Linked DNA regions of Stegostoma tigrinum. The main gene of each other region encodes a partner of the protein of the gene in region 2 in a complex. Links are inferred from orthologs where the notes say so. Each region holds a gene or a part of one and is shown on either strand. Other genes may lie near its edges.

Region 1 (6,912 bases), on a different chromosome or scaffold from region 2:
TTTCAAACCTTAATACAACTACTGGTTATGAAATGGAATCAAACCATTTCTATAAAATTTACTCATTGTTCGATGACCAAATGCACAGACAGTAAGTGTTAAGGACATGCCTGGTTTGAAGTGGTTTGACACATATCAACTTGTTCACTCTTTCCACAGCTCCAGCAACTGACGCAATTAGCTTCTCATCTTCCATATAGGTACCATGGCCTCTGGAACAGACATAATATATACTGTATTAGGATACACAAAAGTTACCCACTCAAGGCAGGCTAATGGAAACCTACAACTCTTCAAAGAGAGAGTTCGGTGCTGAATGTGAACTTTTGTCTATTTCTCTCACCACTGTATCTTTTGAATAGAATAAATCAATCTCAGATTTAGAGCTATTAGCTGGCCAACCTTCTGCTGTATTTATGTTTCCTAATTTCCAAGGCCTTGGTCTTAATTTTGAAGATCATGTCCACTTAGGAAGTCTTCACCCTATCCCAATGAACCTGTTTCATAAGCTTTATTGGCCACAGTTTCCAATACATCTGTCACTTGCCATGTGGCGAATTGATGCTCTCAGTATTATGTTACACTAAAAAGATGGAGTTGTGGCAATACAGTTGGGATGCAAAGTGAAGGACTTGGTTTTATTCATTGGTTGTTTTCACAAAAAAAAACTGATGTACTTCAGCAACTGAGTGTTGCATGGGGTCAATAAGAACTAAAATGTGCAATGCTGGCAAACGGGCAGTGCATAAAAATTCACCTTAATAGATTTGTTGAAACAAGCAGGATTACTTGAAAAGGAAGGTTACAGGAGGCTGGCCTTGAGCCAAGTCTCCAAACACTGCATTCAAAACTGGCAGGTAGAGTGCAAGTAAGAATCAGAGCACAAACACCATAAAGACATGTGGTGGCTATTTTCCTCCCCATATCTCCTAATATAGCAATTCTAAAGGGAAAGAAAATCTTTATTTCAAAGATAAACTTGAGCACACTATCAAAAATCAACATATGTTAAAAGCATGTCACCAGCATTACGAGATTGCGCATACTTGCGAAACAGCCCAATTGGAAATTCCCTTTTGAAGTTGTCGTACGGCTGTGGCAGCAGATTTACCAGCCTCGATTGCTGATGGTTCAAAACACCCCAACCTAAAGTTTCCTAGAATCACCACAGGATGGAAAGAAGCCATTTGCCCCATAGAATCCACACTGACCCTCTGAACAGCATTCCCACTGCCCTCCCCATCCTATCCTGTAATGTTGTATGAATCATGGCTGATCCACGTAGTCTGCACATCCACGGACACCGTGGGGTAATTTAGTCAATCCACCGAACTTGTACAGTTTTGGACTGTGGGACGAAACTGGAGCACCCAACAGAAAGCCACAGAGCAAAACATGCAAACTCCAGAGAGAGTCACCCAAGGCTAAAATTGAACCCGAATCCCTGTCATCAAGAGACAGAAGTGTTGGCTGCTGTGCCAATTATTTTATTAATAAATGCATTTATTTTGTGTTCCAGTTAGTGATGAAACAGTCACAGATTTGAAGAATGAAAGCAGAAAGCCATATGCACGACACCAGTCTAAGTCATCTTTATGCCTTCTTTCTAAAGTCTGTCTGTTAATGTATACAAGGCACTTGTTAGATCTCAGCTCGAGTATTGTGAACAGTTCTGGCTGCCACATGTAGGAAAAGATGTGAACACATTGGAGAGAACGTATAAGTGGCTTGCAAGAATGCTTCCGACGATGAGGAATATCAGTAAATGAGCACAGACTGGTGAAGCTATAACTGTTTTAGAGAGAGAGAAGGCAGCTAAAATGCAATCTGATAGAGATTTTGAAATCAAGAACAAGCTTAAGAGGGTAAAATAGGGAGAAACTGTTTCTGCTTTTGAAAGGAACAAGAAGAGGAGAGCATCAATTTAAAGTAACCTGCAAATGAAACAAGAAGGAAGTCAAGAAAAAAAAAAATTCAGTGAGCATACTCAGGACAGGGAACATAGAGACTGGAAATGTGGAGAATGGTTCAGCTGATGCACTTAAGACAACATTGAATAATTATTTAGATAAAATAACATGCAAGATTGGGAAAAAGCAGGAGACTGGCACTGGATGACATTGCTTTAGCAACCACTGCAAATGTTGGAAATCTGAAATAAAAACTGGTGAAACCTGGCAGAGGGTTATACAGGTTACACTGAGTCCAATACGATTCACCTTCTGTTTTGTCTTTTCTAATACTTGTTTGGAAGCTTCCAGTACTATCATTCCCTTTTGTATATTCAGCGGAGAGTCTTATTTTAAGACACAGACGAGGCAGATGTGGTAAATAAGAATGAGGCAGCTATTGGAAATCTGGAACAAACGCAAAATGCTGGAGAAACTCAGCAGGTCTCACAGCATCTGCTGAGAGAGAAAACAGAATTAATATTTTATGTTCTGAACGAATGGTCATATCTCCAGAGATGCTGACAGGCCTGCTGGGTTTCTCAAAGATCATTTCGATGCAGGCTATCGAGTTTGCACTGATGGCGACCATCTAGTATTTATGGAGATGTGACTTTGAACGAGTTTCAGTCACTGACCGTTGATAAAAAGATTTAAATTTATAGGCCGAATGCGCACCGTCTACCCACGTGGATTTCCTTGCCTCTGGAGTTAACGTCCTGATTTAAAATATAAAAGTTCTCCCATTTTTGTGTTAGTTTTACCTCATGAAACCGGTGTCGGTGGTGATGGTGTCTCCCGGTGATACCAGATGTTTACCGACCTCAGCCGGTAAAGAGACACGCTTTCGCGCCGTCGGTAACCGAATGTCCACCGCCATCTTTGTTACTGGCGTACAGCCTGCGGCGGCCACCTATAACCACTGCCGCCATCTTTGATATGGCGAACGGGCATCAGCTGCCAAATATCATTGCAGCCGCCATCTTCAATATTGGCAAATAGCCTTCCGTGGTTATGACCACATCGATATCTTTCACGTCGGCGAATCCTACGTTACTGAATACCTGATGCTGAAAGTCGGATATAAACAAAAAAAGAAACATGAAAAGATACACAGAATTAACATTTCACTTCCATGTGTTCGTCAAACCTCTCAAATATTTCTCGCATTGTTTGCAAAATCCAGCTTTTACCACATTTACTGAACTCAATCACTGTAGAGCTGCTGCAAGCCCCGATTAACAGAATCCTTTAAATTTTTATTTCAGTCTTCCATCATCCGCAGTTTTGAGCTGTTAACTGCCATCTTTAACACTGGCAAGACACGCCAGCTCTACTTCCGCCATTTTTAACACAGGCATTCGACAAGTCTTTGGGGATTGGGGGGGGTGGTGATTGATTATCGCCATGTTTCTTACTGGCAGACTGAAACTGTCACCATCTTTGTTATTGGCAGATGTTTGGCTCCTTTCTCCTTGCCTCCATGTTTGTTTCCGGGCTGTCTCTGCACCGTTATATCGTCCTAATAACGAATCGACCCGCGCTTTTCTATGATGTTGTGTGGTGAATCAATTAGCTCTTCAACGTAACAAATCAGATAGTTACCATATTGTTGCCAGTATTTTTACGCGTTTTACAAGGTTCTGGTTAACTCGATGTCCGTCTCTGGAAATGGTGGGTGCCGCCATTTTGAGTCCAAAGTTAAACCCAAAACAAATTTTAAACACTGTCAAACTTAAACTATAACTAAATAATATGAAAGCACACGTAGTGATTTACTAGTTCTGGATCTATTGTTGGTCAATCTTATTTCGTAGAATCCCAACAACGCTGAAAGAGGCCATTCGGCCCATCGCACGAACTATGACCCTATGAATCTGCAACGACCCGCAGAGCAGCCCACCCTATCCTTGTTCGCCCCACGTTAAACATGGCCAGTCCACCTAAAGCTGCAAATCTTTGATCTGTAGGAACAACCTGGAGCATCTGACACAAACTCCACACACGAGCCACCCAAAGGGCTGGAATTGAACTTGGGTCCCTGGCACTTGTGAAGTAATAATGCTAACTGTTGAGCCACCATGCTGTCCCAAACCATACTTCTAGTAAGGCTGAATATTATTTCACTAATACTTGCACAGGTCTAAACAAACAATATGGCTTCTTAAAAACATGTTTCTCAAATTTTGAAATACATATGCCTCTACTTTTATCAATAGCTGGCAAAAGTAAAGGTGACATGGGAAGGGACACCTGGAATGCACTGCTTAGGAGGTGATGACTTGTCAATACAAGAGGAAACCATGGGCAACACAGAAGGGGTAGGATAGTGGTTTTCGTTGGTTGCCCTCACTATCACCATTTGGCTAGATTACTGCCTGCTTAGGCACCAGTTCATGGTAATACTGGACAAGTCAAATTCCAGAGTAACATCTGTCTTGATAGACCATGTCGCATTTTCAAAAAAAATTCCAGATGCTGGATAACAGAAACACAAACAGAAATTGCTGGAGAAACTCACCGGGTCTGGCAGTGACTGGATCCAAAACGTTAATTCACCAACCCAAGGAAGCCTAACCAGATAAATAGAAAGCGGGACATAACACCAGCGCTTCATCAGAGGCTCACTGATGATGTTACCTAGAATAGTGACGAAACGTCTGAAAAACTAACCTTCCAGCTCAGCGAGCAAACTCACATCCAGAACCTCAACCTGAGCTACAAATCTTCTCAAAATGTTAACTCTGCTTCCTGCCCAAAGATGCTGCAACCTATACTCACCTCTACAGGCTCCATCCCCACCCCTTTAATTTGTCTGCCTCCTCTCCACCTATCTTCACCTCTATCCACCTTCGGTCCACCTCCCCCTCTCTCCCTATTTATCTCAGAACCCTCTCCCCATTCCCCTTTTCTGATGAAGGGTCGAGGTCAGCTTTTGTGCTCCTGAAATGCTGCTTGGCCTGCTGTGTTCATCCAGCTCAACACTTTGCTGCAAGACTTGCTGAATTTCTCTAGCAATTTCTGTTTGCATTTCTTATTTTCACAATTCTGTTACTATGGTGGTCAGTCACCAGTGGTTGCCATTGTATCTTTGATAAAAAGAATTTAAGTTTATTACACAAAGAATAGAGGAAAAGACTAAGATGACAATTTGAAAAACATCCAAAAAGCTTCTCTTTTCCAGCAATATCCTTTATTGATACTCAATCCTAATATTACAAAATACCTTTCGTAATTGATTTCTGACACAATTAACAAGGCTACAATGATTTACTGTTGACAAATGTATGTATATTTTGTATGTAAGATTACAATTATTTCCGTTATTCTATCTCCCTGACACAGTATTGTTACTAGTTAGCTCAGACAAACATTTAAGAGGATTAATGTTTGGCCAAAAAAACACAAATGGCATAGGTGGAGGCTATTCAGCCCATCGTGTCTATGCAAGCTCGAGTGCATATTATTACCTAATGTCAATCTTCTGCTCTTTTGCCTATTCTTGCAAGTTATTCCTAACCAAATAATCATCCAATGGTCTCTTGAATGTCTCAACTGAATCTGCTTCCATCATACTTTCAGGCATTACATTGCTTCCAATGTTACGGACAGTATGGCCCATTTATACATATGAACTAGGAACAGGAGAAGATCATTTAGGCCCTCAGCCTGAATGGCCTATGACAACTCATAATTTGTATTTTTATGTAAATATAAATGGGAATATTATCTGTGCTAGCAAACGATTATCTATTCAAAAGCCCTTTTTCCATACATCTGTATATATTTTAAAATGTTAATTTATATAGCACAATCTCAGGATGCCCCAAGTGTCTTCTAAACCATGTAGTTAGTGACTGAGTTAAGGATACATAGTGTATTAAGTGTTACATCCCACTTGGGACAGTGTGCTGATGCTTGAGCCTCTCTATTCCTTAGGGCATCATGAAAAGATTTAATCAAAGTCTGTACAGTTCCCAACTTACCTGACTGACAGATTCAAGCCAACAGAAAACAGTCGCCAGACCCCCAAAAAAATTGATGTTAAACACAGAGGAAAGATCCGACAGACAAGCAGAGTTCAAAAAGCACGAGTTCACAAGACTCAGTAAGGTGAACCTTTTTCTTCCAGATACCGTCTACTGCCTGGTCTTTTTTCAGTTTCTTTCACTTTGTGGCAGGAGGCACAGGCAATTGATACAGTCTTTGTATTATTGGTTAAAAGCAACAAATCATTGCAACTTTTGGAAGAAAATAACTAGAATGATTTTACTGCAGAGATATGAAGACAGAGCCTTCTGACCTTGTCCACTACACACATGGCAACTGTTCAGTTGCCCAGGATCCAATCACAGAGCATTGTTAAACTGGTGACCTCAACTGGTCTGAATAAATAATCTGTTGCTAGCTAAACTTGCTTTGCAAACAAACCCTGATAGTGTGTGGAGAGGAATCTCTTCTTCTCCACTGTTTGCAAAGCAACAATGTAAAGGCAATAAAATGTGAGGCTGGATGAACACAGCAGGCCAAGCAGCATCTCAGGAGCACAAAAGCTGACGTTTCGGGCCTAGACCCTTCATCAGAGAGGGGGATGGGGAGAGGGAACTGGAATAAATAGGGAGAGAGGGGGAGGCGGACCGAAGATGGAGAGTAAAGAAGATAGGTGGAGAGAGTGTAGGTGGGGAGGTAGGGAGGGGATAGGTCAGTCCAGGGAAGACGGACAGGTCAAGGAGGTGGGATGAGGTTAGTAGGTAGGAGATGGAGGTGCGGCTTGGGGTGGGAGGAAGGGATGGGTGAGAGGAAGAACAGGTTAGGGAGGCAGAGACAGGTTGGACTGGTTTTGGGATGCAGTGGGTGGGGGGGGAAGAGCTGGGCTGGTTGTGTGGTGCAGTGGGGGGAGGGGATGAACTGGGCTGGTTTAGGGATGCAGTAGGGGAAGGGGAGATTTTGAAACTGGTGAAGT
Region 2 (7,432 bases):
ACCAAGCTGATAATTGCCCTGTATCATTAATGGTGATTTTGAATCCACTCCAGCTGAAAGCTCTATTTACATCGCTGGTGACTATTCAGCATTCATTCTCATTTTAGGCCAAAATGGTGGCTCAGTTGTTAGCACTGCTGCCTCACAGCACTAGGAACCCAGGTTTGATTTCACCCTCAGGCAACTGTTTGTTTGGGGTTTGCACGTTCTGCATGGGTTTCCTCTGGGTGTTCTGCTTTCCTCCCACAGTCCAAAGATGTGCAGACTAGGTGGATTGGTCAGGCTAAATTGCCTGTAGGGTTCAGGGATGTGTAGACTGGGTGGAATGCTCAGAGGGTCAGTGTGGACTTCTTGGACCGAAGGGCCTGTTTCTGCACTGTAGGGATTCAATTATCATAATTTCAATGTCTCTATAAAATAATTTAGGTAAAAAAATCCTGAAGCTTCCTCCCCTAATAGTGCTATGCATCCTTCCCTTGGAAATTTACATTTTGGTAGGAATATGTTTCAGTATTTGGAAATATCCCCGTAGATGTTTGCAAGTCCTCTTCGATTGACCAATCCCCTAGTCAAATACCTCAGTTCACTTCAGCAAGCTGGGATGTCATACTCACACAATTGACTTTAAATTCAAAATACTAGCCTGAGATCCAATCCTCTCTCTTTCACACAGGATGTAAAACTTCAACCAGTTTGTGGTCACTGCTCCTACAGGAGGCATTCTCTTACACAATAGCTAATCCAACATAATATAAAAACAGAGTTCCCATTCTGAGAAAAGGTCATTGGACCTGAAATGTTAATTTTTTTTCTTCTTCAGATACTGCCAGACCAGCTGAGCCTTTCCAGCAACTTCTGTTTTTGTTCAAAAACAAAAGTTGCTGGAAAAGCTCAGCAGGTCTGGCAGCATCTGTGGAGGAGAAAACAGAGTTAACGTTTCGAGTCCAGTGACCCTTCCTCAGAACCATCAGTTACATGTTATTTTTTTTCCTTCTTCACAGATACTGCCAGACCTGTTGAGCTTTTCCAGCAACTTTCTTTTTGTTCGTGATATACAACATCTGCAGTTCTTTTGGTTTTTGTTGTGTTTTTGTTCTCTTGGCTGCTACAGCAGTAAGTTCTGGAACTAATCTCAAAAGCATTCTAGAAGCTCCTCATCCAGGATATTCTCGCCAGTGAGAGATAGTAGGACCTGCCGACGCTGGAGTCTGAAGTAACAAGGTGTGGAGCTGGATGAACACAGCAGGCCAGGCAGCAGAGGAACAGGAAGGCTGACATGCATTTCTGAAGAAGGGTCCAGACCGAAACATCAGCTTTCCTGCTCGGCCTGCTGTGTTCATCCAGCTCCACACTTTGTTATCTTGGATTCTCCAGCATCTGCAGTTCCCATTATCACTGATATTCGCCCCCACCCTCCCCCCACAGATACACAGATTATTGCTGGCTCTTTGTCGCAAGCTCCCGCTATTCCTTTTATATACTTTATTCCACATTGTGGTGACTCTGACAGGGCCTGTGGACCTCTCCCACTGGTACTTTTCTTTCCCCCAGTGCTTCTCATCTTCATTTATAACAATTCCACATCCTGATCCCCGGGAGATGTCTCTCGGCAACAAACAGCTGAAGCTGCCAGCAGAGGGGTGAATCGTCACAGGGAGCACACTCACCAGGAGCAAGACCGTGAGGGCGACACCGACTACTGCCTGCAGCACTTCGCCGGAATGGAGCTCCATGACCCGGGGTCGATAACCGCCAGCGGCTTCCACCCTAACAACCTCGCGAGCCTATGGCAGCGGGACACCGAAGCGGAAGCCAGCACCCCGCGGCCGGAATCGACGAGGGTGCTACAGGCAGCAAGAGGCTCCCAAACTCGACGGCTCTTCTCACTGTAGCGCCACCCCTGGCAGCTTGGTTCCAGCCTCCCAACCGCCCTCTCTGTGACAGGACTGGTCTGCCCCTTTGCATCCTTTTGTATCTCTCCCCTCTGACCTTAAACCCGTGCCCTCCTTTTAGGCTCCCATACCTTGGGCGAAGAGGTGAAGAAGTGAGCGGAGCAGGAGGAATCCATATGCAGCGCGGGTCTGTCGGTGTGATCGTTGCTGACCTTGGACTTCCCTTTTTCCCAGCTCCCTGTGTCCGTCCATTCCCCTAGGAAGCATCAACTCTATTTCAGATCCCCTGTGCCAGTCTCCTTTTTCCTTCTGCATCTGTTCCTCACCTCCCATTATTTCTGCTCGTAAGATAACAAGGTGTAGAGCTGGATGAACACAGCAGGCCAAGCAGCATCATAGGAGCAGGAAGGGGTGACGTTTCGGGTCGAGACCCTTCTTCAGATTAGTGTCGTCGACCCGAAACGTCAGCCTTTCTGCTCCTTTGATGCTGCTTGGCCTGCTGTGTTCATCCAGCTTCACACTTTATTATCCACACCCTGTTATCTTGGATTCTCCAGCATCTGCAATTCCTACTATTTCTGCTTGTAACTGGTGTCTTCCAGAGAGAAAACTGAGACAAAATATTTTTCTTTGCCATTTCCTCATTTCCCATGATATTTTTTCCTTCTTTGTTTCTAAGGGACCAAGAGCCAATATTTATTTTAAGTTAGTCTTCCTTTTTGCATATTTTTAAACACTCTTGTTATCTGTTTTAAGTTTTAAGTTCCAGACAACTGATATCCTCACGTTGCAGGCAACACCTGAGGATATGGATATATGGGTCACATTGGTATCTGCCAGCTCCCATATGCTGTAGCTACACTACATACGGTAATAAAATGCCCAGGAAGGTACTCCTGATGAGTTGAAACTTTAAAGAACTGCTCAACTCGTTCCAAATGCTCTTAAATTGACATAAACAATATTCGGGCATCATCCACTCCACATGTTAATGCCAAAGTTATTCCCTCAAACAACAATGTAGTACCTGCATTTTTCACTTTGTAAGCTTGGATGTGTGGAATATTTGTTTACAAAGGGTATAGCTTTGTACTATTGTTATTTCATATAAGTGTCACCAACAATCCAGCATTTATTGTGTTTCCAAAGTTACCCTCGAAAAGGTGGTGACCAGATGTCACCTTAAACTGCTGCAGATCATGCAACCAGTACATCCACAAATCCGTTACAGAGGAACTTTCAGGATTTCATTCCAGCAACGGTGAAGGAAACATTGAGAATATTCCATCACACCCCTGACTTGAGGCTGACGAATGGTGGACTGGCCTGAGGATTTGGTGGATACTTTACTGCAAAATTCCAAGGCTCTGATCTGCTCTTGTAGCAAAATATGTAGAGTTCAGTTTCTGGTCAATGGTAAGCCAAAATAATAGTGAGATCCAATGACCGTAACACCAACATTCTTGGTTAGCAACTCAAACAACAATATTAATAAGAGTTAGATGTGTGGAATGTTTGTTTATAAATGGTATTGCTTTATACATTTTAAAATTTGTTTATTGCCTTAAACAGTCAATCCTTCCATCACTGTCACACAGTGGCAGCAGCGTTTATGTGACGCACTGCTACAATTTGCCAAGGTTCCATCAACTGTACTTTCAAAACCTGCAACATCCATCTCCTAGAGCAGGCAGCCAAAAGAGGCTGGGGTCGACAGCAGAAGCAGGTGGCGAGGGGTGAGAATGGGTGTTCAGAGCCGGGGGCGGGGGTCAAGCCATTGTGGGGAGTGTGAGTCCAGCATGGCCAGGTACTTGTGGACCGTGGTGTTGAACTGTTAACATGTTTCTTTGTTTCCTCATCCCTTTTTAGCATGAAGAACTGCAATGTTTAACTTTATAACTTTGTTTTTCATATTTTTCTGCTTTATACCCAAGAGTTGGTACCTTTGTACGTTTGTACCTAAAATGGTGCTTTATGTGGATACTTGTAAATTTTTCATTGTACTCATGAGAGTAATGTGACAAAAACCTAATTCAATTCAATTCATGTCCGATTTCAAATGATATCATGCAGTCACCAGGGACCAACTCCACTTTGACCATATGTGGGAGGAATGGTATTTGATAAAAGTTGCTAAAGGTAGTTGGGCTCAGGACACTACCTGAAGAAGTCCTGTAGAGATATCTTGGGACTGAGATGATTTGTCAGCATTACCTGTAACACTTTTAGCGCAATTCATGACTACATTTGGAGAATTCTTCGTGAGTTATATTACCACCGACTCTTTAAAATATTAGGTATTATAAAATATACATTATAAAGGATATATTATAAATTTATATTTTTAGAAATAATACAATGTATAATTTAATCATAATTAGATATGCAGTATATTTTAAAAGCCAATGAGATGTATACAGACTGGTGAATGCGAGCTGTAAGACATTGTTTCCTGAAGATGCGGATTGCAGCTGTCAATCATCATGCTGCACCAACCAGCCACATGGCTTTCATTTCCGTTCTGCACATTCCACACTAAACTAAAAATAAGAAAATAAACCCCATGAAAGGGATTGGCCGTAGACAGAGCGGGGATTACAGGAGTCGAAGCAGGGAAAAATACAGCGTAGTCCAATGAGGGAAAGAGGCTCACAACCGTTCCGGCCTCTCCGCGGAATCTGCGAATCCAGTTCCCAGGTTCACATGGTTCAGAGAGACCGAGAAGGATGGCGGCTGGATTCAAGTGAGTGAGAGACAGGGAGAGAGAGACACACACAGAAACAGAAAAAAAAAACAAACAATCAATCAATCAATCAATCAATCAATGGGGGGAGGGGGGAAGACAGAGAGAGACAATGGGGGGAGAGGGAAAGAGAGACAATGGAGGGGGAGAGAAAGAGACGGACGGGGGGGAAAGAGAGAGAGACAATGGGGGGGGGGAGAAGAGAGAGAGACAATGGGGGGGGGAGAAGAGAGAGAGACAATGGGGGGGGAGAAGAGAGAGAGACAATGGGGGGGGGGAGAAGAGAGAGAGAGAGACAGACAATGGGGGGGAGAGAGTGAGAGATAATGGGGGGGAGAGAGCGAGAGACAATGGGGGGGAGAGAGCGAGAGACAATGGGGGGGGAGAGAGCGAGAGACAATGGGGGGAGAGAGCGAGAGACAATGGGGGGGAGAGAGCGAGAGACAATGGTGGGGGGAGAGTGAGAGACAATGGGGGGGAGAGAGCGAGAGACAATGGTGTGGGGAGAGTGAGAGACAATGGGGGGAGAGAGTGAGAGACAATGGGGGGGAGAGAGAGAGACAATGGGGGGAGAGAGAGAGACAATGGGGGGGAGAGAGTGAGAGACAATGGGGGGGAGAGTGAGAGACAATGGGGGGGAGTGTGAGAGACAATGGGGGGGAGAGTGAGAGACAATGGGGGGAGAGAGAGAGAGAATGGGGGGGAGAGTGAGAGACCACAGGGGGTAGAGAGAGAGAGACAATGGGGGGGGAGAGTGAGAGACAATGGGGGGGGAGAGTGAGAGACAATGGGGGGGAGAGAGTGAGAGACAATAGGGGGTAGAGAGAGAGAGACAACGGGGGGAGAGAGAGAAAGAGAGACAACGGGGGGAGAGAGAAACGATTGGGGGGAAGAGAGACAATGGGGGTAGAGAGAAAGAGAGATGGGGGGAGAGAGAGAGAGAGAGACAAAGGAGGGGAGAGAGAGAGAGAGAGACAATGGGGGGGAGAGAGAGAGAGAGAGAGACAATGGGGGGGAGAGAGAGAGAGAGACAGACAATGGGGGGGAGAGAGAGAGAGAGACAGACAATGGGGGGAGAGAGAGAGAGACAGACAATGGGGGGAGAGAGAGAGAGACAGACAATGGGGGGAGAGAGAGAGAGACAGACAATGGGGGGAGAGAGAGAGAGACAGACAATGGGGGGAGAGAGAGAGAGACAGACAATGGGGGGGAGAGAGAGACAGACAATGGGGGGGAGAGAGTGAGAGACAATGGGGGGAGAGAGAGAGAGAATGGGGGGGAGAGAGAGAGAGAGAGACAATAGGGGGAGAGAGACACAATGGGGGAGAGACGGAGAGAGAGACACAATGGGGGAGAGAGAGAGACAATGGGGGGGGAGAGAGAGAGACAATGGGGGGAGAGAGAGACAATGGGGGGAGAGAGAGAGAGAATGGGGGGGAGAGAGAGAGAGAGAGACAATAGGGGGAGAGAGACACAATGGGGGAGAGACGGAGAGAGAGACACAATGGGGGAGAGAGAGAGACAATGGGGGGGGAGAGAGAGAGACAATGGGGGGAGAGAGAGACAATGGGGGGAGAGAGAGAGACAATGGGGGGAGAGAGAGACAATGGGGGGAGAGAGAGACAATGGGGGGAGAGAGAGACAATGGGGGAGAGAGAGACAATGGGGGAGAGAGAGACAATGGGGGGAGAGAGAGAGAGAGAGACAATGGGGGGGGAGAGAGAGAGAGAATGGGGGAGAGAGAGAGAGAGACAATGGGGGGGGAGAGAGAGAGAGAATGGGGGAGAGAGAGAGAGAGAGACAATGGGGGGGGAGAGAGAGAGAGAATGGGGAGAGAGAGAGAGAGAGACAATGGGGGGGTGAGAGAGACAATGGGGGGAGAGAGAGAGAGAGACAATGGGGGAGAGAGAGACAATGGGGGGAGAGAGAGAGAGAGAGAGAGACAATGGGGGAGAGAGAGAGAGAGACAATGGGGGGGAGAGAGAGAGAGAGACAATAGGGGGAGAGAGAGAGAGACAATGGGGGAGAGAGAGAGAGAGACAATGGGGAGAGAGAGAGACAATGGGGGGAGAGAGAGAGAATGGGGGGAGAGAGAGAGAGAATGGGGGGAGAGAGAGAGAGAATGGGGGGAGAGAGAGAGAGAATGGGGGGAGAGAGAGAGAATGGGGGGAGAGAGAGAGAGAATGGGGGGAGAGAGAGAGAGAATGGGGGGAGAGAGAGAGAGAATGGGGGGAGAGAGAGAGAGAATGGGGGGAGAGAGAGAGAGAATGGGGGGAGAGAGAGAGAGAGAATGGGGGAGAGAGAGAGAGACGATGGGGGGAGAGAGAGAGAGAGACAATGGGGGGAGAGAGAAAGAATGGGGGGGAGAGAGAGAGAATGGGGGGGAGAGAGAGAGAATGGGGGGGAGCGAGAGAGAGACAATGGGGGGGAGAGAGAGAGAGAGAGAGAGAGAGAGAGACAATGGGGGGGAGAGAGAGACAATGGGGGGGAGAGAGAGAGAGACAATGGGGGGAGAGAGAGAGAGAGACAATGGGGGGAGAGAGAGAGAGAGACAATGGGGGGGAGAGAGAGAGAGAGAGAATGGGGGGGGGAGAGAGAGAGAGAGAATGGGGGAGAGAGAGAGAGAGAGAATGGGGGGGAGAGAGAGAGTGAGAGAGAATGGTGGGGAGAGAGAGAGAATGGGGGGGAGAGAGAGAGAGAATGGTGGGGAGAGAGAGAGAATGGGGGGGAGAGAGAGAGAGAATGGGGGGGAGAGAGAGAGAATGGGGGGAGAGAGAGAGAGAGAGAGAGAGACAAT
Region 3 (7,677 bases), on a different chromosome or scaffold from region 2:
TCACATGTAACTTGTTACAAAAATACATTGAAAAGTGGCACCACTCTCTGGGAGCATCTTAAAACAAATAAAAAACCAAACCATAGAATATAAAGGCAGAAAAATGAGAACAAAAAGTGTCTAACTTACAAGGAGATAGCAAGAACTGCAGATGCTGGAGTCAAAGGCAACACAGTGTGGAGTTGGAGGAACACAGCAGGCCAGGGAGCAACGGGGAGCAGGAAAGGTGACATTTTGGGTCAGAACCTTTCTTCAGAAAACTCTCCTTTGAGCTGCTTGACCTGCTGTGTTCCTCCAGCTCCACACTATATTGTCTAATTTATAGTCCTTCTTGTTAAGTGCTTTAACATGGGCCATGGGCCTGGTGACCAGGCACCTCCTTCACCGTGCTGCCACTGCTGCACCAAACGACGCCACTCTTTGGCACCATTTCACCTCCAGCAATGGCACTGCCAAGATGAATCCTAACTGGGCCTTGCCAATAAGGATGCCACCAATGCCTCCCTTTATGCATTGACCTGAACTTGACTCAGCTGCCACCTTGAGTCTGCGTCGACCCACCTCAACATGCAGCTGCTGCCGTCAGGTCTCATGCTGGGCCCAATTCACCTCTGCCGCAGCAGTCATGAATCAGCACTAGGAGCGCCTCCACAATGCACAAGATGCGGGAACACAAACTCGCCTCCAACATTGCTGCCATCAGTCCATACTGCTGGGCCAACCCGTCAGCAATGCTGTTACTGAGCCCAAGCTCTTCAGCAAAAGGGAAATAAGATAAAACTAAAGAGTAAAAAAGAAACAAAAGAGAGAGAAAGAAGACAAAAAAAATGGGAAAGCAGACGGTGTGGATGAACCCTGGGCTCAGAAGCCCTTCTCTTGCATAATCTTACTGGAAGACACAATAATAGGATTCTTACGTAGCTTGACATGGTAAATGCCAACTGGATGTTTTCCCTCATGAGTCTAGGATGAGAAAGCATAGTCACAGGATAAAGAGGCACCAATTTAAGACTGAGACAAGGAGAAATTTCTTTTAGTAGAGGGTTGAGTGTCTTTGGAATTCCCTGCCATAAACAGCTGTGGGGGCAGAGTCCTAGTCACAGTCATGCAGCATGGCAAGAGACCCTTCAGTCTAACCAGTCCACATTGACCATGTTCCCAAACTAAACTAGACCCACCTGCATGTACTTGGCCCTTAACTCTCTGAACTTTTCTTAATCTTATCCAAATGTCTTTTCAATGTTGTAACTATATCTGCAGGTCTAGGCCCAAAATGTCAGCTTTTGTGCTCCTAAGATGCTGCTTGGCCTGCTGTGTTCATCCAGCCCCAAATTTTGTTATCTTACATCCTCTGGCACTTCATTTCACACACAAACAACTCTGTGAATTAAGCTGCCCCTCACGTTCTTTTTAAAACTTTCTCCTCTCACCTCAAAAATATGCTCCCTAATTTTAAAATCCTCCACACTAGGGAAAACAACTTTGCTATTCACCTTACCTTTGTCCCTTAACTATCCTGTATACCTGTGATGCAAATTTCAAAGAATTATATACCTGAATCCCAAGGTCTCCTTGTTCTACAGCACTACCCAGGAGCCCTACCATTAATTGAATAAGTCTTGCCCTTGTTTGTTTTACTAAAATGCAATACCTTGCAGTTATCCAAATTAAACTACATCTGTCACTCCTCAGCCCATTGGCCCAATTGATCAAGATCTCTTTGTAATCTTAGATAACCTTTTCCTCTGTCCATTATGCCACTAATTTTGGTGCCATCCACTAACTTACTAACCATGCCTCCTATATTCTCACCCAAATCATTTATACAAATGTCAAACAAAAGTGGACCCAGTACCAATCCCTGTCGAACCCGTGATCACAAGCATCCAGACCAAAAAAACAACCCTCCACACCACTGTCCATTTCCTACGTTCAATTTTGTATCCAATTGGCAAGTACACCCTGAATTCCATGTGATTCAACTTTACTGATTAGTTTACCATGTGGAATCATATCAAAGGCCTTACTAAAGTCAAAGTAAACAATGTCTACTGCTCTTCCTTGATTAATCTTTCTGATTACTTCCTCAAAAAAAATCAAGTTTGTGAGATGTGATTTCCCTTGCACAAAGCTATGCTCACTCTTCCTGATCATTCACTACCTCTGCAAATGCATGTAAATCCTACTTTTCAGAATCACCTCTAACAACTTACTGGTCTCAAACACGGGTCTATAATTTCCTGGCTTTTCCTTGCAGCCTTTCTTAAATAACGGCAAAACGTTAACCTCCCCCCACTCCTCAGGCACCTCACCTGTGGTTATACATGAGACAAATATTTCTGCTAGGGAGCCCACAATTTCCTCCTCAACTTCCTACAACGTTCTGGGATACGCTTGATCAGATCCCGAAGGCTTATCCACATTTACGTTTTCTAGGACCTACAGCACTTCCTCATCTGTAATGTGAACTGTTTTCAAAAGATCAACATTTATTTCCCTGAGTTCACTAACGTCCATTTCTCAATCCACAGTAAAAACGGTGTATATTTAAGGTTGAGACAGATAGACTTTTGATTAGTAGGGAAAGGATCATTATGGGAATAGAGCAGGCAAGTAGACAGGAGGTGTGTGGGATCAGCCACGATCCTTACGAACGGCGAAGCAAGCTCGAGAGGTCGAAAGGCCTACTCTGTTCCTACTTCTTACACATCCCATCCCTGCTCCGCTCTTGAAGTCTGCCGGTACCTGGGATGCAGAGCTTCAGCGGCGCCATCACAGCTTCACAGAACCGGGGAGAACACGCTGTCGCAGACCCTCGTAGTAAGGGGCGAACGGATTGGCTCGCGCGGACACTGGTAGTAAAGGACGAGCGGATTGGCTGAGGTTGGTTGCTAGGGCCGGGACGGATTCGCGACATCAAATCTCTTCGCCTCATGGCTCTCTCCGGCTTTTATCCTGTTCTCTCTGGGCTTGGTTCAGGATCTCCTCCATACTCCCGTCCCTAACCCGGGTCGGGATCCTGCCCTCGGGTCTTCAATCTCGTCTCCCTGAATTCCCCGGCCCCGAGGCCTTCCCTCCTCATCCCCCCCGTCACAACCCTCCAGTACTGACCTCTCTGTCTCTCCCTGGCTGCTCCTCGTCTGAGAGAAAACAACGAAACTCTCAGCTGACTATGATGTTCATCTCCATTTGTGTCTATTGCTTTATTTGTCAAAGTTTAATACAGTTCACATTGGTCCCCGTACTGTTTCATTTCCATCCAGCACCAGATAAAACAGTGTGGGCTGGCGGGACGTAAACCTCTGAGCAATATCATAGGAAAGTCCTGAGGTTAATATTGTTGAGTAGCTGAAAATTCATTTCAATTCGAGTTTGAAAAAAATGTATCTAAACTAGCACAGGGAAAGTAAGAATTAACAGGCGCTGGAGAGGGGATTTATGATTAAGGGCAAAGAATTGTTTTTTGTTTACTCATCTCTATTTTAAAGTCAATAGTATCAAAGTAAAGTTAAAAGAAGGAAACTAAAGTTTTAGCAAGTAAAATTTCTTAAAAGTATAGGTTAAGATTATGGCAGGACAGATCAGCCAAGTGGAATATGCATGCTGTTGCATGTGTGGACATTCTAAATGACCTTGATGAGCCCATGTGGAGGAAGTGGGGCCACTGCAAGCTTGAGCTCCAGGTTTCAGTGCTCGCAGTGGCTATGGCAGTCTTAGGGAGACAGGCAAAAAGATCCCAAGATCTGCAGATGCTGGTGTCAGAGTCAACACAGTATGGAACTGGAGGCCCACGACATGTCAGGTAGCACCAGAGGAGTAGGAAAGTCGACATTTTGGGTTGGGACCCTTCTTCAGAGCAGTTCCGAAGAAGGATCCTGACTGCTTGAAGGGTTTACGCAGGGGAGTGGGAACCAGCAGAGAACGTTAGAAGGAAATGGCAGAGTACAAAAAGATGCTGGGGGAGGCAGATTGTGTGAGAATAGAAGTAATATGTGGAGTCAACATAATGGAGATGGTAGTGAACCGTAAATTAGGGTTGCTCTGCATGTACGTGCATGGACTGAGTATGGTGAATAAGATTGGGAAGTTACAGGCACATATTTCCATGGTAGATTGTGAAAGTAAAATATTGGAGATCTGGCTCAAGGAAACATAGAAGATAGGAAAAGGAGGAACCCATTCAGCCCTTCGAGCTTGCTCTGCCATCCATCACGATCATGGTTGATCATTCAACTGATCGCCTAATCCTGCTTTCTCTCCATAACCTATGATCCCATTCGCCCCAAGTGCTATATTTACCTGCCTCTTGAATACCTTAAATATTTTAGCATTGGCTATTTCCTGTGGTAATGAATTCCACACGCTCACCACTCTTTGGGTGTAGAAATGTCTCCTCATCTCTGTCCTCAATGGTCTACCTCAAATCAAGACTGTAACCCCTGGATCTGGACACACCCACCATCAGGAGCATTGTCCCTGCTTCTACCCTGTCAAGTCCTGTTAGAATTTTATTAGTCTCTATTGAGATCCCTCTTCATTCATCTGAACTCCAGTGAAAATAATCATAACTTAGTCAATCTCTCCTCATATATCAGACCCAACATCCCCAGAATCAGCTTGGTAAACCTTTGCTGTATTCCTCGAGAGCGAGAGCATCCTTCCTCAGAATCGGCGACCAAAACTGCACACAATATTCTAGTTGTGGCCTCACCAAGGCCCAGTATAACTGCAACAACACATCCCTGCTCCTGTACTTGAAACCTCTTTCAACGAAGGCCAACTTCCCATTTGCCTTCTTTACAATCTGCTGCACTTGCATGCTTGTCTTCAGTGACAAGATGCACAAGGACACCCAGGTCCTGCTGCACACTCCCCTCTCAATTTTCAGCCATTTAGGTAGTAATCTGCCTTCTTGTTTTTACATCCAAAGTGAACAACCTCACATTTATTCAAATTATTCTGCATTTTCCATTCATTTGCCCACTCACCGAACTTGTCCAGATCATGCTGGAGGATCTCTGCATCCTCCTCACAGTTCACCCTCCCACCCAACTTGGTATCGTCTGCAAACTTGGAGATATTACATTTTGTTCCTTTATCCAAATCATTAATATATATTGTGAATAGCTGGGATCCCAGCACTAATCCCTGCAACACCCAGCTAGTTACTGCCTGCCAACCTATCTTCTCCTCTATCCATCTTCAATCGCCTCCCCCTCTCTCCCCATTTATTTCAGAACCCTCTCCCCATCCCCTTTTCTGATGAAGGGTCTAGGCCCGAAACGTAAAAGCTTTTGTGCTCCTAAGATGCTGCTTGGCATACTGTGTTCATCCAGCTCCACACTTTGTTCTCTCAGATCCTCCAGCATCTGCAGTTCCCATTATCTCATTAATTCCTACTGTTTGTTTCCTCTCTGTCAACCTGTTTTCTATCCATCTTAATACACTTCTGCCAATCCCGTGCACATTAATCTTAAACATACAACATTGACTGCCCCCCACCTTGTCAACCCTACTAGTTACATCTTCATAGAATTTCAACAGATTTGCATGACTTCCCTTTCATAAATCTATACTGACTCTGTCCAATTCTGCTACTGCTTTCTAAATGCTCTGCTATAAAGTCCTTAATAATGGATTTGAGAATTTTCCCCACTATAGATGTTAGGCTTCCTGATCTATAATTTCCTGTTTTCTTCTCTACCTCCCTTTTTGATTACTGGAGTGACCTATGGCTCCCCTGCAATCTGCAGGGACTGTTCCAGAGTTTGAAGAATCCTGGAAGATGCCATCAATGCATCCATTATTTCTAGAAAGGGATGGTCTGGGTGCTAAATGTTCTTGGTTACAAGGTATACAAAAAGATTGAAAATATTTAAAAATAAGGGAATATGGAGTCTTTTTCTTAAGGAGAGTCTTGCAATATAGGAGAAGGAGGACATTTCAGAATGTTCAGGGATGGAATTGATTCAGGTGGAACTAAAGAATAAGAAGAGTGCAGTTACGTTGCCCGCTGTGAGCCGTAGACCACTAACTAGTGGGAAGGATCTAGAGTCATAGAGATATACAGCACTGAAGCAGGCCCTGCGGTCCTACTCATCCATGCTGACAAGATATCCTAAATATATCTAGTCTCATTTGCCAGCATTTGGCTCACATCCCTGTAAACCCTTCCAATTCATATACCCATCCAGATAGATTTAAATGTGGTAATTGTACCACTTCCTCTGGCAGCTCATTCCATACATGCAGTACCCTCTGCATAAAAAAGTTTCCCATGAGGTCCCTTTTAAATCTTTCCCCTCTCACCTTAAAGCTATGCCCTCTAGTTTTGGACTCCTCCCACCCCAAGGAAAAGACCTTGTCTATTTACCCTGTCCATTGCCCTCATGATTTTATAAATCTCCATAAGGCCACACCTCAGCCTCCAATGCTCCAGAGGAAAAAGCCCCTGTCCATTCAGCTCTCCCTACAGCTCAAACTCTCCAACCCTGGCAAATGGCTTAAAAATCTCGAGAGAGAAAAATCTGCAAGGACATTGCAGAAATGTATAAGCATAGTTGAATAGCCATTATGGGGGACTTTAATTACCTTTAATGGTTGGACTAGAAACATAGAAAGTAGGAGCAGGAGTAGGCCATTCGAGCCCTTGAGCTTGCTCCACCATTCATCAAGCTCAATACCCTATTCTTCCTGTCTCCTGATATCACTTGATTTCTTCAGCCACAAAAATTCTATCTATCTCCTTGAAATGTTTTCCTCAATCACCTTCTGGGGGTAGTGAAATCCACAGGTGCCTTTCTCTTTGGGTGAAGAAATTTCTCTTTATTTCAGTCCTAAAAGTGTTACACCTTATTCCTAAATGATGACCCCTAGTTATGGACCCCCTACCATCAGGAACATCCTGCATTAAACCCAACTAATTCCATTAGAATTTTATAGGTGTGTATGAGAAATCCCCTCATTGTTCTCAACCAAAGTGAATACGACCTAACTGATTTAATCTCTCCACATGCATCACCTTGCCATCCAAGGAATCAGTTTGGTAAACCATTCCTGCTCCCTCTATAGCATGAACATTCTTCCTCAGAAAAGAAGACCAAAACTGAACACAATATTCCAGGTATGGACTCACCAATGCCCTGTATAATTGCAGCAAGATATTCTTGTTCCTGTATTTGAATTCTCTCATTGTGAAGGCCAAATATATTTTGTCTTCTTTCCTGCGCTTGCACACTTACTTAGGCAACTGGTACACAAAGATATACAGATTTCGTTGAATATTTCCCTCTCTCAATTTACAGCCATTCAAGTAATAATGTGCTTTTATATACTTACTGCCAAAGTAGGTAGCCTCACATTTACCCACACTATGTTGCATTTGCCCAGTCACTCAGCCTTTCAAAATCATACTGCAACATTTTTGCATCCTCCTCGTGGGTCACATTTTCACCCAGTTATGTGTCACCTATACATTTTGAGATTTTACATTTAATTGCCTCATCTAAATTATTAACTGGTATTGTGAATAGCTGGTGTCCTAGTCCAAAGCTCTGTGGCCCCCATTATTCATTCAGAAAAGGACCTATTTGCATAAAGGGTAGTGAGGCACAGAAGTTCTTAGATTGCGATCAGGAGAATTTCCTAGATCAGTATGTTTAGTCCAAGAAGCATGAT
Region 4 (7,746 bases), on a different chromosome or scaffold from region 2:
GATAAATACTTGATTGATCCCAGACAGACTGCACTGTGTAATCCTTAGGCCCTCAGAGTTGAAATCTGCTCAGTGAGGAAGTACTGAAATAAATACTGTGGCAGGGCAAAAAATAAGCAGCGAGGGCAAAGTCCCATACCACTTTAGCTTGAATTGCATTTATTCTCTCTACTTCACCCAGAGATCAAGTTTTACTGCAGCACAACTCCACCCAGACTGCTCAAGACCAGACAGCAGGGAATTGAGGCCCAGCGTCCCACACATCCAACAGGAGAGACTGGACAATCAGCTCCAGGAACCCTGGCCCAATTATACCTTCCTGCACTGAAGCTGAACTTCAGCAGCACCACAGATCAGGCAACTCAGCATAGACAGAGCTGAACCTCACACTTCAATCCAATACCGTGTGGTGGTTCAATTTTAGTTAAATGTTAACAAAGGATATTCTGCAACTTGTATAAAATGTAGTAAATGGAACAGTAAAAAAACATTTATTTTTCAAGAAAGCATTTACTGGAATGTCCAAGAACAAAAGTTCATCTAATCTTTACTGACAAGCTGTGGGATTTTCCTCTTGACTGATTTGGTCAGACACTGTTGGACTACAGAGTAGAGCTTCTGACATCCCTCAATACAAGCCTTGATTGCTTCTACTGATGTCTGCTCCTCCCACTCTCCTTTCGAGACCAGCCCGGAGATTTGATTGAGTGTGGGCAGCAGAGCCACAGTCAAGCTGCCATTGTTTACGGCCTGCGAGCAGGCTGCACTGTACTCCTCAGCTGCTGTTGGATCCAGAAGGGAGACAGCTCCACACTGCCTCAAAGAGCAGCCCACCACCACGTCAAACATCTCGATGCCTGCTTCTGCCAGTGCTATGGAAGCACAAGTCAGCGCAGCTGCTAAGGTGGAGCCATCATTCTCCAGAACCATCACGTACACTTCGATCTGGGACCTGGGGTACTTGTGGAGGCAGATAGCTGGCTGCAAGCTCTGTTCCATGATCAAAGAATACTCCTTCTCCAAGGTGCCCTGAATCCAGGCAGCTCTCTTCCTGCAAGAGAATGGGGCAAATCTACAAGGGTGGGGGGGGGGGGCGTGGTAGGGAAGAAAAACAATCCTATGAATTCATTCACGTGATATTTCAAAAGAGGAATAGGTTAGCACAGTTGGTTAAATGTCGGTGAGGTGGTTCAGAGAAATGTCCAACAGCGCAGGTTCAATTTCTGTTCCATCTGAGGTAGGTTTGGGATTGACTTTGTCGTCCTAAACCTGAGAATGAAAGTCAGCAGCAAAGAGTGACAAAAACTGCCAAGTAAATGGCTCAGGTTGGAGTATCAGCTACAAACCAAGGATCACAGGGAATGGAATGTTAATAAATTAAAATTGAGGCTATCCAGACTACAAAAGTGTGGCCAATTCTTAACTGCCCTCTGAATGGTCAGGCAATCCACCGTTTTACGAGCAATTAGGGATGGGCAACTAATTCTTACCTTGCCAGTGACACCCACTGTCTAGGGATAATGGGAACTGCAGATGCTGGAGAATTCCAAGATAATAAAATGTGAGGCTGGATGAACACAGCAGGCCAAGCAGCATCTCAGGAGCACAAAAGCTGACGTTTCGGGCCTAGACCCTTCATCAGAGAGGGGGATGGAGAGAGGGAACTGGAATAAATAGGGAGAGAGGGGGAGGCGGACCGAAGATGGAGAGTAAAGAAGATAGGTGGAGAGAGTGTAGGTGGGGAGGTAGGGAGGGGATAGGTCAGTCCAGGGAAGACGGACAGGTCAAGGAGGTGGGATGAGGTTAGTAGGTAGCTGCGGGTGCGGCTTGGGGTGGGAGGAAGGGATGGGTGAGAGGAAGAACCGGTTTGGGAGGCAGAGACAGGTTGGACTGGTTTTGGGATGCAGTGGGTGGGGGGGAAGAGCTGGGCTGGTTGTGTGGTGCAGTGGGGGGAGGGGACGAACTGGGTTGGTTTAGGGATGCAGTAGGGGAAGGGGAGATTTTGAAGCTGGTGAAGTCCACATTGATACCATTGGGCTGCAGGGTTCCCAGGCGGAATATGAGTTGCTGTTCCTGCAACCTTCGGGTGGCATCAGTGTGGCAGTGCAGGAGGCCCATGATGGACATGTCATCTAAAGAATGGGAGGGGGAGTGGAAATGGTTTGCAACTGGGAGGTGCAGTTGTTTGTTGCGAGCTGAGCGGAGGTAGGCACCCACTGTCTACATTGCCATTCCACCTTTGTTCACTCCAGCCCAACGCCAGCAGCTCCACCAGGAATCGGAGCTGGGTTGAGGACCAGGTTCATTATTTGTGAGCTGCTGTGATCTGGAATGCGCTGTGCTTCTTCTGTTGACGATCAACACATTTCCCCACCATCCTTCCAGCTTCAAGTCACAGGATCAGCCTGTGTTTCCACAATTCACTTCACTAAATCCAGCAGCCAGGGATAGGACTGGGAACCCTCCCCTCTCCCCAGTCAGAGCTGACCTGACACACACTGATAACCTACACGCCCACCTTTCCAAAATCACAGGAGACTTTACTCCGAGCACCAGGGGTCTCTACATCATCTCCGCTTGCCCTTGGTTTCACGGGGGGTTGGTGTTGGTGCTTTAAGACCCTTCCCGCCCCCGGCCCCGGCCCCTACCTGAACTCGCAGCCCAGGGTCGCCCCGCTCAGGCGCCGCTCCTCCTTCCTGTCGCTCTCCCGGGGCCCGTAAACGGCGCACAGCACCTTGGTGAGGCCGCACTCGACGTACACCGAGCCGTCCGCCTGACTCACCAGGCCGGCCCGAGCAAACACCGGCCTCGGCTCAGCCGCCGACCGCCCATCAGCCCGAACCCGGGCCCGCCCCGGCACCGTGCTCGGAGCCGCATCTCCCGCCACAAACAGCAGCGGCGACTGCGACTCCTCCGGGCCCCGGACTCGCTTGGTGTCGACCGGCATCTGGTACCGACTCGCTCCAAGCTCCGGAGCCTCGACCAGGCCGCGCACAACGAGGCAGCGCCCGTCGTAAGATGCTCCCACCTACTGCCCTCCCCCAACACCGCCCCCTGCAGTCCGGGAGGACCATCCGCAGGCCCTCATGCTCCATACCACCCCCTACCGGCTTTCAGCAAAGTGTGCAAGTTCTCTTCCAGATTGCAATGATTTGGTTTGAGTCGTCTGTGCGTGCAGGTCGCATCGAAAAACATGGGTTCTGTAGCCAAATTTATCAATATTCCACCACCAGGGGGGAAAAAACCAATGCAGCAGTGTGTGACAAGCAGAGCCTTGCTAGGGGAGTAATTTGATTTATTATTGCCACATGTACCAAGCTGTAATCCTGAGATTTGAACGCAATTTAACACTGGCCCTTCAGAGCTATTTGTTCTTTAAGGTGGCAGTAGGAAACGCAGAAGCAAGAGTCGGGGCATGTTGCCCAAAGTCCCGGTCAATATGAATCGCTGAAAAAGATTAGCTGGTTATTAAACATGGGGACATAGGGAGAACACGCAAAGTGCATACAGGCAGTCACCCAAGGCTGGAATCGAACCGATGGCTCTGCTGCTGTGAGCCAGAAATGCTAACCACTGTGCGACCCTGTAGTTATCTGGTTACTAATCTCACTTGGGCTCGACGGCTGGTTTGTGATAGAGCGATACCAACAGTGTGGATTCAATCCTATGCTGGTTGAGGTTACAACAAAGGACCCCTTCTCAACCATTCTACACACCTCAGGCATGGTGACCCTCAAGCTTAAAACACCAACAATTGAGCAATCCTATGGCCTGGTAGGACTATGGCAACTTTACCTTTAACCTGTACTGTATACAATGGTGTCTCCTTTGGGATGCACCCTTTCTTCATTTACATGTAATTTTTTATTGGCATCATCCTCGAGTATGAGTGATGAGGAGGAAGAGGGTCCAAGATTCTCTCTTTTCCACCACCTTGGTGCTGTCAAATGGCCTGCCAATCTAAGGTCATGTACAACTCAGGAATTTTTCCCAACGTTGGAAGAGTGATGTCCTCTTTTAGTTCTTGCTGAACGTTAAGTAACATTTGCCACGGATTCCATTTATCGCCTCCAGTTTGAGAATAATTTCAGCATTGTTCTTGATCTAGAGTTGAGCTTCAATCCCCTTCGATAACAAGGTCCTTGATTTCACATCCACAACATTGTCCGTTTCTGTTCCAACTTTCTCATCATAAATCCTCAACAATTTGTTCCTCGTACCCCAATATCTGGAAATCAAATTCCTGTTCTTATCCACAAATAATTCCCTGGATTTACTCAAACCAACATCGGCAATTGCTTCCCACCTTTGCCTCCCATTCAGAGAATTTCCTCCCGTTGTCTAATTAAAAGATGAAGCTACTGAGGGACAACTTGTTAATATAAATACATGCAGAAAAATTATTTCCTATCGCAAAATGTCTAGAACCAGCAGGGATAAGCTTACCATCTGTTCTTGGGGAGTCCTCCATCAATTTGTGAAGCACCAAAGGACACCACCAAGATTTTATGTATTTTTTTTCAAAAGCAGGTTTTTGGAATATTCCTGTCCACTTCAAAGAGTTGTCTGCTCAGGCTCACACTGGGAGCATTAAAATTTCATCTTCCCAGTGTCTTGTTTATTTCACCGGTCTGTGGCATCCTGAAGGTTTCAGTAACCCTCCTCTCCATTTACTATTATATCCAATATTGGGTGAAACATCAGAATCAAGGTTGACTGTCCTGTGGCCCCAACACCTCAAATTCTGAAGCCTTGCCCTCCAGCCCAATTTCACCATCCACAAGTTAGCCTGTCTCACCTCTCTGTTCTACTAAATGTAATACAGATTACCACTATTGAGGTCTTATTCTTTAATCTCCTAACTCCAGGATATCTTTGATAGGACCTCAACTTTTGTCTACATTATTGGTTCCAACATGACCCACAACATCAGAGTGTTGCCACTGCTGTGTTGCTGGTCATAGCAATGACAGAACATTGGAACAGTTAGAAACAGTAAAGAGTGAACTGGATATTAACTGAATGACTATCATGTGTTGGAATTCAAAACTTTGTCTAATGAACCACTGGAATCGTTTATATTAAAACGCTACTGTCACGTTTTGCTTGCTTGGGGTTAAATCCACTGGACGGAAATACTGGGAGATGTGTAAGACAAAATAGTTCATAAAATGGTACCACTTATGTATGACTTCAATGTTAGACAACAGAAATCATTTCTGCAGAAGTAAATCTGAAAATAACACAAAAAATGCTGCAAGTACTGAGCAAATCAAGTAGAAAGTCAAAGGAATGATGATCATCTGCTGTGTGTGATGTGAAACATTAATAGTTTCTCTCTCCACGTGTTTTGTAAACTGCTGCATATTTCCATTATTCTGATTTTATAGTGGTTAGACCCCTGTAGACCAGTCTGACCAGGTTTGAAGGAAGAACTCATCAATGAAGTGAAAATCAACTTCCAACAGGGACAGTGTGAATCTTTGGGGTTTTTTTATATTTGAAGGAGAGTTAGTGACTAAAGTTGAAAATGGGTGGGATTTACAATAAGTGTTCGTATTTATGTTCACACATAACGTTGAATAAATCAACTTCTAATTGGTGATCAGAGATAATGGGAATTGGTTGTGTTTCACCAGGATGTGAATCAATCGACAGCTAAGGAGATTACAGAAGTCCAAGAGTCAAAAACATGATTGCAATGTCTCGTTCACGTAATGAAGAGGTTTTATTGTTTACACTGTCTTGAACAATGGTTACATATGACTAGGTAATGACAGCATCATCATGAGGCAGCGAACAAGAGACAATTGATCTGAATCTGAAAATAAATAGCATACTCCAAATCTGTAACCAGTACAACACCAGTATTATTTTAAGCTTACGGGTGCAAATCCTTTTAATGAATTAGAGCCGTTTTAAATAGGCTAACAGATTTTCTTACAGCCAGTCCCTTATTGCAACAGTTTGAAGATTTTAGAGATGATCGATTGCTAAGCTGTTCTACTGACTTAGTGAGACAGAAGTTCACGCTTTTAACATTAACATGGAGGAGAATGTGACAACCCCCTCCCTCACCACCTCTCAGCAGTAGTGGTCCTAAACCCCTGCAGCAGAAGAGTCCCGGCCCCATGGACGGTCTTTCAAGTGACATTAACTGCAACGTTTGTGATTAGTTTTTGAGGTCTCCTATTTTCAGCTCAGCGAACTCGGTTGCCAGCTTTAGCGCCTTGTCAAGGCTGTTGACGTTTTTCCCAGTGGCCTGGGCTGACACGTCCTTTCCTCCTCCTCTTCCGTCCAGCAGGTCCAAGATATGGTTGACCCAGTCACTGGCTTTCAGGCCCCTGCTCACCACCTCCTGAAAAAGGTTTGTAATGAAAAAGGGAGAAATAGTGCAAAATGAAAATTCAGTAACCCTGCTGCTTTTAAGATGGGCTTTCCACAACGTACAATGTTCGGACTTTGAGGCGATGCCTCCCCCACTGGCCTGACTGTAAAAGTGGCACAGTGAGGGACTGAGACTTATACATCACAGGTTCAATACCTGATATGCTGCAGATGTCATAACAGCCAGTGAATGGCACAGCAAGACTGAAAGGCCTACACCAATTCCTAAGTCCTATATTACCAGGGTCTCAGGAAACACGTAGCTGGGATGCAACAACTGAAATCAGCTCCTTATGATCAACAAAGGTTAAACTCTGTCTTTGACGGCTGATCATTGGTCCCTGTTGGGTCACGTACAGAGAACGGGTGCAGGGCAGATGATGACCAGACTGGGCTTGAATGTTACAAACCTCATGGTGGATCAGTCTACTGAAACTCACTGAAGGATGAGGAGTAACTCCTGCGATGAAGTATCAAGGGGCACAGAATCATTACTGCCACAGCCTTCAAGTGGAGATTAACAATATTGTCAAACAATGAATCGTTGCTCTCAAACACCCAGACACTGAGCCAAGTTCATCTCATTCCTCCAGTCCTGGCCTCCCTATCGTTGGTCACTTCCATCACTGGCAGTCATGCCTTCATCTGCTGTAACATTGCAATGCTTGCCCTAAACCTCTCTGCGTTTCTCTTCTTAACACTGACGTCCTCAATTATTAAACGTTCAAAGGCTGAGGGAAGAATAAAAGAAGAATAAAAAAAGAGAAAAATAAACTACTAGGGAAAACAATGTGATGGAAGCCAATAAATCCTTTGGGTTGTACCTTAAGATGTGAGGGAAGTAATCAGAGATAGTAGATGCCTTGGTAGTAATCTAATAACAATCTTTATTCTGGAAAAGTCCCAGAGGATTGGAAAGTGACACCATTGTTTAAAAAGGGAGATGAGAAAAAAGTAACTTTAAGAAAGTTAGAATAGTGTCTCTAACCAGGAAAATGTTAGAATCTATCAAGTAGAGTCAGCAGGGCAACTGCTGGCAACTCTATTAGAATTCTGTGAAGAGGTTAACAAGTAGGGTAGTTAAAGGGGAACCAGTAAATGTAATATGTTTAGGTTTCCAAAAGGCACTCAATAATGAGCGTCACACAGAGCTGCTTGATCAGGGCTCATGGGGTTGTGGGTAGTGTAATAGCATTGATACATGACTGGCTAACTCACAGAAGACAAACAGCTGTAATTAAGGGGACAATTTTGAGATGTTAACTTGTAACTAGTGGACTGCCAAAGGTTTCACTGCTGGGGCCACAATTATTTACAATTATATTTTAATGACTTGGATGACAGAATAGAATGTACTAT

The links.
Region 1: exosc8 (region 2) and exosc2 share a complex: the UniProt entries of both Homo sapiens proteins name them as parts of the RNA exosome core complex. The link is inferred for Stegostoma tigrinum from reciprocal best matches to the Homo sapiens genes EXOSC8 and EXOSC2.
Region 3: exosc8 (region 2) and exosc1 share a complex: the UniProt entries of both Homo sapiens proteins name them as parts of the RNA exosome core complex. The link is inferred for Stegostoma tigrinum from reciprocal best matches to the Homo sapiens genes EXOSC8 and EXOSC1.
Region 4: exosc8 (region 2) and exosc6 share a complex: the UniProt entries of both Homo sapiens proteins name them as parts of the RNA exosome core complex. The link is inferred for Stegostoma tigrinum from reciprocal best matches to the Homo sapiens genes EXOSC8 and EXOSC6.

The regions. Positions count from the first base shown.
Region 1 is NC_081382.1:41,692,229-41,699,140, forward strand, and holds the start of exosc2 (exosome complex component RRP4), read right to left. Parts: upstream 3,008-6,912; 5' UTR 2,830-3,007; coding exon 2,714-2,829; intron 213-2,713; coding exon 111-212; intron 1-110. UniProt on the Homo sapiens protein: Non-catalytic component of the RNA exosome complex which has 3'->5' exoribonuclease activity and participates in a multitude of cellular RNA processing and degradation events.
Region 2 is NC_081359.1:85,237,655-85,245,086, forward strand, and holds the start of exosc8 (exosome complex component RRP43), read left to right. Parts: upstream 1-4,422; 5' UTR 4,423-4,618; coding exon 4,619-4,635; intron 4,636-7,432. Other genes in the region: alg5 (dolichyl-phosphate beta-glucosyltransferase), read right to left, coding at 1,668-1,733. UniProt on the Homo sapiens protein: Non-catalytic component of the RNA exosome complex which has 3'->5' exoribonuclease activity and participates in a multitude of cellular RNA processing and degradation events.
Region 3 is NC_081373.1:12,450,494-12,458,170, forward strand, and holds the start of exosc1 (exosome complex component CSL4), read right to left. Parts: upstream 3,011-7,677; 5' UTR 2,936-3,010; coding exon 2,746-2,935; intron 1-2,745. UniProt on the Homo sapiens protein: Non-catalytic component of the RNA exosome complex which has 3'->5' exoribonuclease activity and participates in a multitude of cellular RNA processing and degradation events.
Region 4 is NC_081369.1:4,854,560-4,862,305, forward strand, and holds the start of exosc6 (exosome complex component MTR3), read right to left. Parts: upstream 3,019-7,746; 5' UTR 2,948-3,018; coding exon 2,649-2,947; intron 1,073-2,648; coding exon 541-1,072; 3' UTR 1-540. Other genes in the region: aars1 (alanine--tRNA ligase, cytoplasmic), read right to left, coding at 6,173-6,358. UniProt on the Homo sapiens protein: Non-catalytic component of the RNA exosome complex which has 3'->5' exoribonuclease activity and participates in a multitude of cellular RNA processing and degradation events.